2 linked regions of the Drosophila melanogaster genome follow. The gene in region 1 interacts genetically with each later gene. Each region holds a gene or a part of one and is shown on either strand. Other genes may lie near its edges.

Evidence for each region. A genetic interaction does not mean that the proteins touch.
Region 2: of ZnT49B (region 1) and ZnT86D, changing one enhances a phenotype caused by changing the other (phenotypic enhancement), as found in Drosophila melanogaster (one study listed by BioGRID).

Annotation. Positions count from the first base shown.
Region 1 is NT_033778.4:12,650,968-12,656,296, reverse strand, and holds ZnT49B (zinc transporter 49B), read right to left. Parts: upstream 3,493-5,329; 5' UTR 3,170-3,492; intron 3,116-3,169; 5' UTR 3,110-3,115; coding exon 2,239-3,109; intron 2,187-2,238; coding exon 2,045-2,186; intron 1,988-2,044; coding exon 1,581-1,987; intron 1,530-1,580; coding exon 1,201-1,529; intron 1,149-1,200; coding exon 1,074-1,148; intron 1,014-1,073; coding exon 900-1,013; intron 836-899; coding exon 791-835; 3' UTR 554-790; downstream 1-553. Other genes in the region: CG8778 (uncharacterized protein), read left to right, coding at 3,892-4,213, 4,277-4,854.
Region 2 is NT_033777.3:11,211,775-11,216,238, forward strand, and holds ZnT86D (zinc transporter 86D), read right to left. Parts: upstream 2,766-4,464; 5' UTR 2,440-2,765; intron 2,371-2,439; 5' UTR 2,355-2,370; coding exon 2,174-2,354; intron 2,103-2,173; coding exon 1,683-2,102; intron 1,594-1,682; coding exon 1,094-1,593; 3' UTR 534-1,093; downstream 1-533. Other genes in the region: RpS25 (ribosomal protein S25), read right to left, coding at 3,777-3,850, 3,919-4,195.

The DNA.
Region 1 (5,329 bases):
TTGAAATACTTTTGTGGCGATTAGTAAAGTTCACGCTCTTTACCACTCGAACGTTTATTTACTTTACTTGATTTTGGAATTAATTAAACGAACAAACAAATCGCAGGCAATGCTTATTTAACATGTTAACTTGTTAGGGTTTGTTGTGCATGAGTTTTGTCTTCGATTTTATATTTCAAAAATTTGTATTTGTCAATTAACTTCAATATACTGTGCATATATATGCTCTGCTGTATGTGCAAATTATTTATGTGCACATAGAATCGGAAATAATATTTATTTATTCGGCACTAAGCGTACACCTACCGCCAACCGTTTTAATTCACGCGCCAACTCAGACTGAAAAAAATTCCCAAACAGCGGACGCTGAGCCGCAGACTTTTAACAGTGAAAGCAAAACGCTGTTAAAGATCGAAATCTATTCGCACACAGAGGGAAGTGCGCTACAGAGCGCTTCGTCCGTCGAAATTGTTGCTTTCGTTGACCTCCGACCCGTGGTACCAGAAAGGGAAAACATTTCACAATAAGTGCACTATTTATAAACACGGGATGTGAAGGAATATCTAGGCTTTTTAATTCAACAAACTACGTTAAGAAACAGATATATTCAAACCACGGGCTCCTGTCAAGCCCGCGACAATACACTTTTAATGCTTAGTTTTAGGTTTATATCTAGAAGTACACAATGGGAAATAAATATATGCTAGACAGGCAATAATTTCTTATAGAAAGCAACCAAATCACCCAATGCTTTATGTATTTAACAGTCCCCCAGGCGAATAGAGGGCGATTAGAGTATTTCCAGGTCCACATGGCGTATTTCCGGGAATTGTGTCTGTTAAAATTTAAAGTATATACGTTTAATAAGAATAACTAGATTATCATCCATTTTAGCTAACCCGCAAGTTCATCTCAATGCGATCAATTTCGCCGCCCATCAGGTCCACAATGTTTTCGCCTTGATCCAGCAGAAAGCTCTCCAGATCCTCAACCTTTTGAAAGCCTCGAACCGTCTGCGGGGGTAAACAAAAACCGGTCAATGACAGGCCCAGAAATGGGTCAATACCACGTACCGTGAGCAGTTTTGCGAGATCCTGTTTGTCCAGATACGAACGGGTCAGCTCACGGCCGTCAAAGTCGAGCTCAGCCTATGGAAATGAACTTTAGTCTCATTGAAGCCCTTTAAGAGCAAGGTTTTACCTTATACCGAACCCGAGCATTGCCAATATCGATTCCCTTGACATCGTAAATCGCTCTGATCATTACATCAGCCTCCAAAGCAGAGTTAATCTTTTCTAGGCGCTCGGAAGCAATGGATATCCCCACCAACGCATTGGCATTTGTATAAATAATAAAAGAGGCCACAGCGCCCAGAAGAGCACCTATAACCAGTGAACCAGCGGCGTCGAAGATGGGCGATCCTGTGTAACTACTTAATCCCATGCAAGCTGCAGCCACCATAACGCCAGTTACCGCTGCAGCGTCTTCACACAGCACCACATTCACGCACGGATCCTTGCCAGAAATCACTGTAAAATAAGCATTATGATTTATGTTCATATTACACATGCTAAACTCACCATAATCCTTAAAGGACATATTGTTTTCCTTAGCCGATCGCTTAAGCTCATTAATGGCCACCACCAATGTGGCTCCCTCAGAAACTAATGATCCCATCAAGATACAGTACACCCAAAATAGATCTGTTATGGGTTCCGGATGGAGAATGCCATCAATACCGTGGTATATGGACAGGCCACAGCCAACGCAAAAGATGCCAACGCCCGAAATCAGCGAGGAAACATATCGCATGTTCATGTATCCATATGGATGATCTATATCGGGACTCTGAGAGGACTTGTAGATGCCAAACGCGAGGATGAGCTGGTTGATTAAGTCGGCCAAAGAATGGATAACTTCTGCAAACATGCTGTGAGAACCGCTGTACAGCCAACCTCCTGCCTTGAAAAGCAAATTGGCTGCATTGCTAGAAGGAACAGATCTTATTCATAGAAACTTTAGTTTCTTAAGTAATATAACTCACATAGCGATGGCGGTGGCCACCACTTGCCCGGACTTCTCCGACTCCTTTCTGTTGTCGAGCATTACTTTGGTTCGAGATCCCATTTCCCTGCGGTAGTCACGCAACCGCCGTTTAACAGTGAATAGATCTGCGGAGTCATAGACTTTAGCACCCATATTAAAGGTAGAACGGACACAGGACACAAAAACACTTACTCTGCTGGTATTGCTTGCGCTCCACCTCCCGCTTGAGTCGCTCCCGCAACAGATTTTCCTTGGACCCCCACACTTCGACGGCCTTAGCCTCCACATCCCGTCGCCAGTAGACAGTCATGGGTGGCTCCTGCTCGTACGGCGATCTCCGCTTGATCTTGGGCAGACTTTCGAGTTGAGCAGCGGTCAACAAGAAATCGCTGATGGCCCGGTTGGGGGTCACAAAGTTGCGCTCTAGGGAAGCACGATAATCGAATCGGGGTCGCTTTAGAGGAATCACAGGCGCTGGAGGCGTTACCTCTGCAGGTGGGGATGTTCGAATACCTTCTCCCGCCTTTTCAGCTAGCACAGCACCAGACGGAGAATTTTTAGGTGCGCTTTTCACTGTTTCAGGAGGATTCATAACAGAACCAGAGCTCTCTCCCAATCCTACAGCACCAGTTGCTACTCCAGTAGACGTAGAACGTAGATTAATGGCACTTGCGGCCAAAACCGGCTCTTTCACCTTCGTTACCGGTGGCAGATCGGATTTTTCAAACACAATCTCGTTAATTTTGGAGTCCTCGATGGTGGTGCTGATAGACAGGATGCCCTTTGTGGTCTTCACCTCAAAGTTTTTCGTTTCCTTTGGCTTGGCAACTGGACCAGCGGTGGCCTCCTCCTGCACAGGTTTTTCCTTCTTGGAATCACTGCCATTGGCGCTGCAGCGAAACTGAAGGAACGTGCTTGGTCGCTTCCACGGCTGTAGTTTGAATGCCTCGCCGTCATGCCGCCTCCAAGGGTTCCTGCCGTCTTGACGTAAGGAGCACTGGCTAAAAGCCTTTCCCAAGTGCTGGTGTCTTCGCTGCAGGATCTGCACGCCGCGCAACAGCATCCTGCACTGGAAAGGAATACATATTAGGCTTATCTCTTCCACACATATGGTAATGCTTACACGGCGCGCTGCGTCACTATCGCACTATAGATTCCAATCAGTTCTTTTCTATTGTGGGGGGTGCTCCGTGGTTTCTCCTCTAGCGCAAAACTACGTCATGCGGGCCAAATGGAACGGGTGCAAAACGAATTGCGGTTGTAACTACTCCGGATAGGGTCGCTCTGTGGAATGCTCCAATCGTTCCTGGGGCCACAATCCTTGGAGCGTTGAGGGCGTACTTGCAAATATGCTTTAAATATACATTGGCGATTTTTTATACTGAAAATTTAACCATCACCGGCTGGCGCTTTTTGCCTGTGCTTTGGCCGTTGATGTTGTGGTTTTCTTTTCATGCCGAAACAGCTTGGTCACACTTACAGAGCTTATCAATTGTTCTCACTATGCAGCATTTTGAAGAGTGGGAGACGCAAATAAATACAAAGATCGCAAATCTAAAAATTCGTACCATGAAAGCATTTATTATAATTCTTATAAAGCGGCTTATCTTTATATCCATATACATTGATATTACTATTTTATATATTTGGTCAGAAGAATGCCGTAAAATGTTAAAGCAGTGTGAACAACCGCGGTTATTAACCGCCTTGGTGTCTTTAATACTGTTATCGATAGTGGCTTTAAGCTTTTGTCAGCACCAGCGGCAACAGCTGTTTTCTGCCGGTCGTTTTATAATCAGCTTATTGCCTTTTCTTGCTTTCTTTTTATCTGTTTTCAACGTTAAAATGTCAATGTTAATAAAAAGAGCGTCTGGTTTAGCTCGACAGTTAGCCCGGCCACTTGTTGCATCACGTAATTTGGCGTCGGCAGCGCCCTATGGCGATGGAACTGAAGTTCTCGTGGAGCGTTTGGATGGAGCTCGGCAGGGTATCTCAGTTATTGGCCTAAACCGACCAGCAGCAAAGAATTCCTTTAGCCGGGGAATGGTGGAGACCTTCAACGATGTCCTGGAAGATATAAAGAAGGATAATGGATCGAGGGTGGTTGTATTGAGGAGTCTGAGCCCTGGAATCTTCTGTGCCGGAGCGGATTTGAAAGAGCGAAAAGGTTAATCCTTAAATATTTTACATCCCTGTGATAAAGCTAACTTATCTTATACATATATCCCAGGCATGACTCCCGAGGAAGCCACCGAATTTGTAAAAGAGCTCAGGGGACTGCTTATTGCCATTGAGCAGCTGCCCATGCCGGTAATCGCCGCTGTGGATGGAGCTGCTCTCGGCGGAGGTCTGGAAATGGCTCTGGCCTGTGACATCCGGACTGCTGCTAGCGACACGAAGATGGGTCTGGTGGAGACAAGGTTAGCCATCATACCAGGAGCTGGTGGCACCCAAAGACTGCCCCGCATTCTGTCCCCTGCTCTGGCCAAAGAACTCATTTTCACGGCACGAGTGTTTAACGGAGCAGAGGCGAAAGATCTGGGTCTGGTTAACCATGTAGTGAAACAGAACGAAACCCAGGATGCCGCCTATCAGCAGGCACTTAAATTGGCAGAGGAAATTCTCCCGAATGGGCCAGTGGGCGTGCGAATGGCCAAACTGGCCATTGACAAGGGCATGCAGGTGGACCTGGCCACCGGCTACTCCATCGAAGAGATCTGCTACTCGCAGGTGATACCCACTAAGGATCGTTTGGAGGGACTCGCTGCCTTTGCCGAGAAGCGGAAGCCCGTCTACAAGGGGGAGTAAATAGATATCGTGCCACTCCCCTAACGTTAAGCTGAAAATTGCATTTATTATTTAACCTGTTACTGTTGTAGAAACACTTAAGCGGCAAAGTCCAGTTCAATTGTTTTTATTAAAAGCATTCGATCCTATCGAGCTGCCAAATAACTTGAATGACGCTAATTGTAGCTAAACAATTTTTAATACCTGTGATGACGCATCTCAATTTAGACATGGGTGGGAATACTAATTACAGGCATTAAAAACGACCGATCGACATACACTCCTATTTGCATTACATGAATTCGCCCAGCATAGAACTGCAAATTAGATGCAAGGTTCAGCTTGATAGTTCTGTCGTCGAACTATGCGGAAATCGGAATTTCTTGAGAATCCCAGAGTTAGAAACTTTCTATTGTCATGCGAGCTGAGTGTGATTGCATGGCAAATCAACCTACAAGTGGCAGTTTTTATTACCAGATGAGTGTGCCTTCGTTTG
Region 2 (4,464 bases), on another chromosome or scaffold:
CAGTGGACACTCGTTAGGGCGAACGGCGATATTGTCTGATGTTCGAAAACAATTTTTTTGAAAAGCACAATATATTTTCCTAAAATTGTAAAGAATATTTTATTCAAGTATTTGAATCTAGTTGAAATAGAACCATTTTCGGGATAAAAAGCTAAAAGTTTTTCTTCGCTATTCTCATACATTGTTGAATTTAATGGTTTTTAATATACATACATATGTGTCTATTTATGTACCTTTCCATTCTTATGAAGCGTTGTTGAAATGGAGTATTGTTCCAAGAAAACTTTTTAACAATAAGGAGAACAACAAGCTATACAATTCTGGTTTATTTTGTGGTCTTTCAAATTAAATTATATTTTTGTAAAGAAGTAGTAAACTGGGCAGTTCAATAGCAGATTATTTTCAATGGGAATCTTTTGTAAATAATTGAAATAGGTTAATCTAATCGAATATGTTAATTGGTTATTTGTTTGTACCCAACAAAAAACGAATGATAAGTACCCATCCAACCGGAATTAAAACTTCTTTCAGTTCGGTTTACGTATAAAAATGCTAATAACAAATTAAATTTTATTTCGTTCATAATTTTGATGCTTCAAACTGTGGCAAAAACGATTCACCAAATGCACTTCCACCGCACGGCGGAATGTCCATGGAAATGTCAGTCAGAATTAGTTGCTATTTTCTGGTTTTGTTCATGCTGAATTTTAAAAAATCTTTAAATATTTATATTTACCTTTGCACAAAATCTTTCGCTTAGCTTACAATTACACTAATGCTCCTCGATATGGACTATTGCATAAGTTATGCCATGCTTTCAGTATGTATAGAATTGGAATGAATGCCGAACGCATTTCAACAAATACAAACGTTAATAAGTTAACAAAAATTCGGAAAGTACAACTGAAAATCAAACACTTTCTTTTACTTAGCTCTTGGAGGGGACATTCGGAAGTGATGGGCGGGGTATTGTGGCGCCGTAGTATACTAAAATTTCATAATGTTTGAGTCGCACTGCCCACAAACATTCAACATGCGCTGATAACTATACAGATCATTGTACAAGGACACCGGTGGGTCGATCCCATTGGCATCAAACATAATCCAACTGTATGTAGATCTGCTTGACGCCCACCGCCTCAAAGATCATCCGTGTGTGCGTCACCACGTACTTGGGATCGACGTTCTTGGACACCTCCAGCTTGAGTGCGCCCACATAGACATCGGAGCAAAGGGTCCAGAAGTGCGGCTCCTGCACAGCGTAAACGCCAGCCAGGCCGGTGACTTTCTGATAGCACTGCGGCAGCGATCGGTCCAGGTCGGCGGGTTGTCGCTGCATCAGGATCATGATCGACTCCTTGATCAGACTCAGCACACTGAGCGCTATCAGCAAGGCTATGAAGATGGAGCAAATGGGGTCCGCTATCATCCAGCCGAACATGTGCATCAGCACCGCCGAGATGATCACGCCCACCGAACCCAAAGTGTCCGCCAGGATGTGCAGGAAGACGCCGCGCATGATCTGCGAGTTGCTGCCCGACATGTCGCCGTGCGAGTGGCCATGGCTGTCGTGATCGTGTGAGTGTCCATGGCCTAGAAATGGGCGGATTTAAAAAGGGGTTATTAGAATATTGTCCCATTCCTAGTCAATATAATAAGATATAATCTCCAACTGCAGTTACCATTGTCCAAGGTGATGGCTTGGTGATTGTGATTGCCGGCGTCCGTGTGGCCGTGCGAGTGCCCGTGCCCATGACCACCACCGTGGGAGTGTCCGTGTCCACCGTGCGAGTGTCCATGTCCGCCGTGATTGAAGGCATAGATGCCCACCAGGTTCACCAGCAGTCCCAGCACGGAGACGACAAACAGACGCTCGTGCTTGACCTCCGGCGGTTCGATAAGTCGCTCCACGCCCTCCGACAGAATGAAGAAGGCTATGAACAACAGGAACAGGCTATTCACGAAGCCGGCCAGCACCTCGGCGCGCACATAGCCGTAGGAGAACTTGTCGTTGGCCTTCCACTTGGTGATAACCGACGCGGCCAGTCCCGCCAAGAGGCCAGTGCAGTCGAAGAACATGTGGAATGAGTCGGAGATCAGGCCTGCGGATTAACCATCAAGTAGGTTATAAACTGCGGATAAGATAAAAAGCCATTAGTGGCCAAGTACGCACCCAAACTGTTCGTCACAATGCCGTAGAAGAGCTCCACGAAGGCGAAGCTCAGGTTGAGCAGCAGAAAGAGGAACAGATTCCGGGAGTTGCGGTCGGAGAAGATGAGTCGTTTCCAGCTGTTGAGCTTCTCCCGGATCCGGTAGCCCAGACTGCTCCGGTCCTTGTGCGACAGCGGTATCATCTTGCCGGTTATGGATCTGCAAAAGAGCACGAGACCAACATGAGATCTAAGCACCTAACTAAGAAAGCACACTTTGTTTGCATACGTGGTATTATCGGTTGGCTATAGCCGCGCTCCAGCTGATTCCGTGATTCCCACTCCGCTTCTGGCCGGGTTCGCGAGAATCTTTATCGGCAACGGCGGCGGCGGCAGGTCTCTTTTCTTTGATTCCCAAATTATCTCACAAGCAAAATGCTTCCTGCGCGACTTCGTCGTCGTCGTCGTCTTGTGTGCGCAGTTGTGCGGCGCGGGCTCGTCGATCTGCGATTCAGCTGCAGCTTAATTCATTTTTACTGGGTACCAGATACCAGAACCGAACTCCCGTCTTTGCCAGCACCAAACCAATCTGCCGTGTTGTCATCAAAATAATGGTAACCACGTAAACATTTCGTCCGAACGAAAGCAGCGCTTCGTTGTGAATGGCAAATGGCCACAGTAAGTGCACCACTGAAAGTTTGTTGGGTATTCATTTTACTGGTCGCTTTTTAGTTAGATCTTCCGGCATTTTGTTTGAAAAGTATAAATTCTAAGGAAGTTTGATTTATTGCGGTCTTTTGATTATTATTATTTTTCACTTTAATCATGTATTAAGAATTGCCAGTTTCTAATTTTTATACCTTATTGAATGAAACTTTAATAAACTTCAATGGCTTTTCTTTTGACTTCATTTTGTCGTCAATTATGAAGTTACAATTGAGTACTCACTGTCACGTGAAAACTGAGAGGGTGAATGGCTTGAGAGCAAGAAGAAGATTAGTACTAATTCTTATTGGGAATTCGTTATTTTTTTATAAACAAATATTATTTAATATAAGTGAAAATAACCAAATTCTTGCTGATGTGAATTACAGCAAATGAATCATGATTTTACTGTTTGTATTCAAATGATAACCATTCAAAGTGCTAAATTCAACTAAAAAATACATTTCAGCGGCTGTTTTAAAAATAGTTCCTCATTGATAACAAACTTGAAAGACATTAATGAAATGTTCACTTTCTTAGAAGTATTTTTGATTAAACGCACATTGCAATGAATAATAATTGCTATTATAAGAATTCTTGATATCCTGATTTGCAAATATATTGCACGTCAGCTGTTCGATTTGTAAGAACAATAGTTTTTGGGCTATATGATATTTTACATTCCCAGCCGTATAACTCCGGCTCGACATCTTGAAACCAGCGCTCAGTGATACATCCCTCTATAAGAGGGTATATCTTTATATCAATTAAACATCACGCAAATGTCCCTTACATCAATAAGAAAGCAAGTTTATTCAACGTTACACACACAGCGGCATCGTAGTGCTATCGATACAGAGTTCTATTGTAAGGCGAGTGCGACTACGGCGATGCGAGATGGGCAAAAGGTAAAACATTCATTTACGCCTCATCACCCTTGGTGGCACGTGTGTAGATGACCTGGGAATGATGCTGCACGACCTGCTTGATCAGACCTGAAAGCAAAGAAGAGTGCCATTAGGATTTATGCTAACGAAAAGGTAGGAAGCGTAAGGAAACGTACCCTTCTCGCGCAGCTCGATGAGAGCACGCTTGGCCAGGGAGCCGCGGATCTTCAGACGCTCGGAGACCACCGATGGGGTGATCAGCTTGTAGGCGGGCACTTCCTTGTACAGCTTCTCGTAGGTGGCCTTGTCGAACAGCACCTGGTTGTTCAGCTTGTCCCTGACTTTTCCCTTGGACCACTTCTTCTTCTTGGCCTTGCCGCCGCCGGATCCCTCCTTCTTCTTTTGTGTCTTTTGCGGCTGCTTGGCCGAAGACTTCGCGTCCTTCTTAGGCGGCTGGAATGTTGCAAAGAAAAACGGGCTTGTATTAACAACTTGCACTTGAATCCCAGACATAAATAAACCCCATTGACCACCATTGAGCAGCACCTGGAGTTGCTTGCTTTCGAGGTTAAGGCATGCTTTTGTTTTTTGCCCGCATTTTCACATTTTCCCACTTGAGCTGGGTGTTGTTTTCATGGCCCAGCCCTGGGGCGGCACTTCACTCATATTTTGCCTCCATTTGCGGGCCACTTTCACAGTGAAAAACTATTATTTTCGCAGAA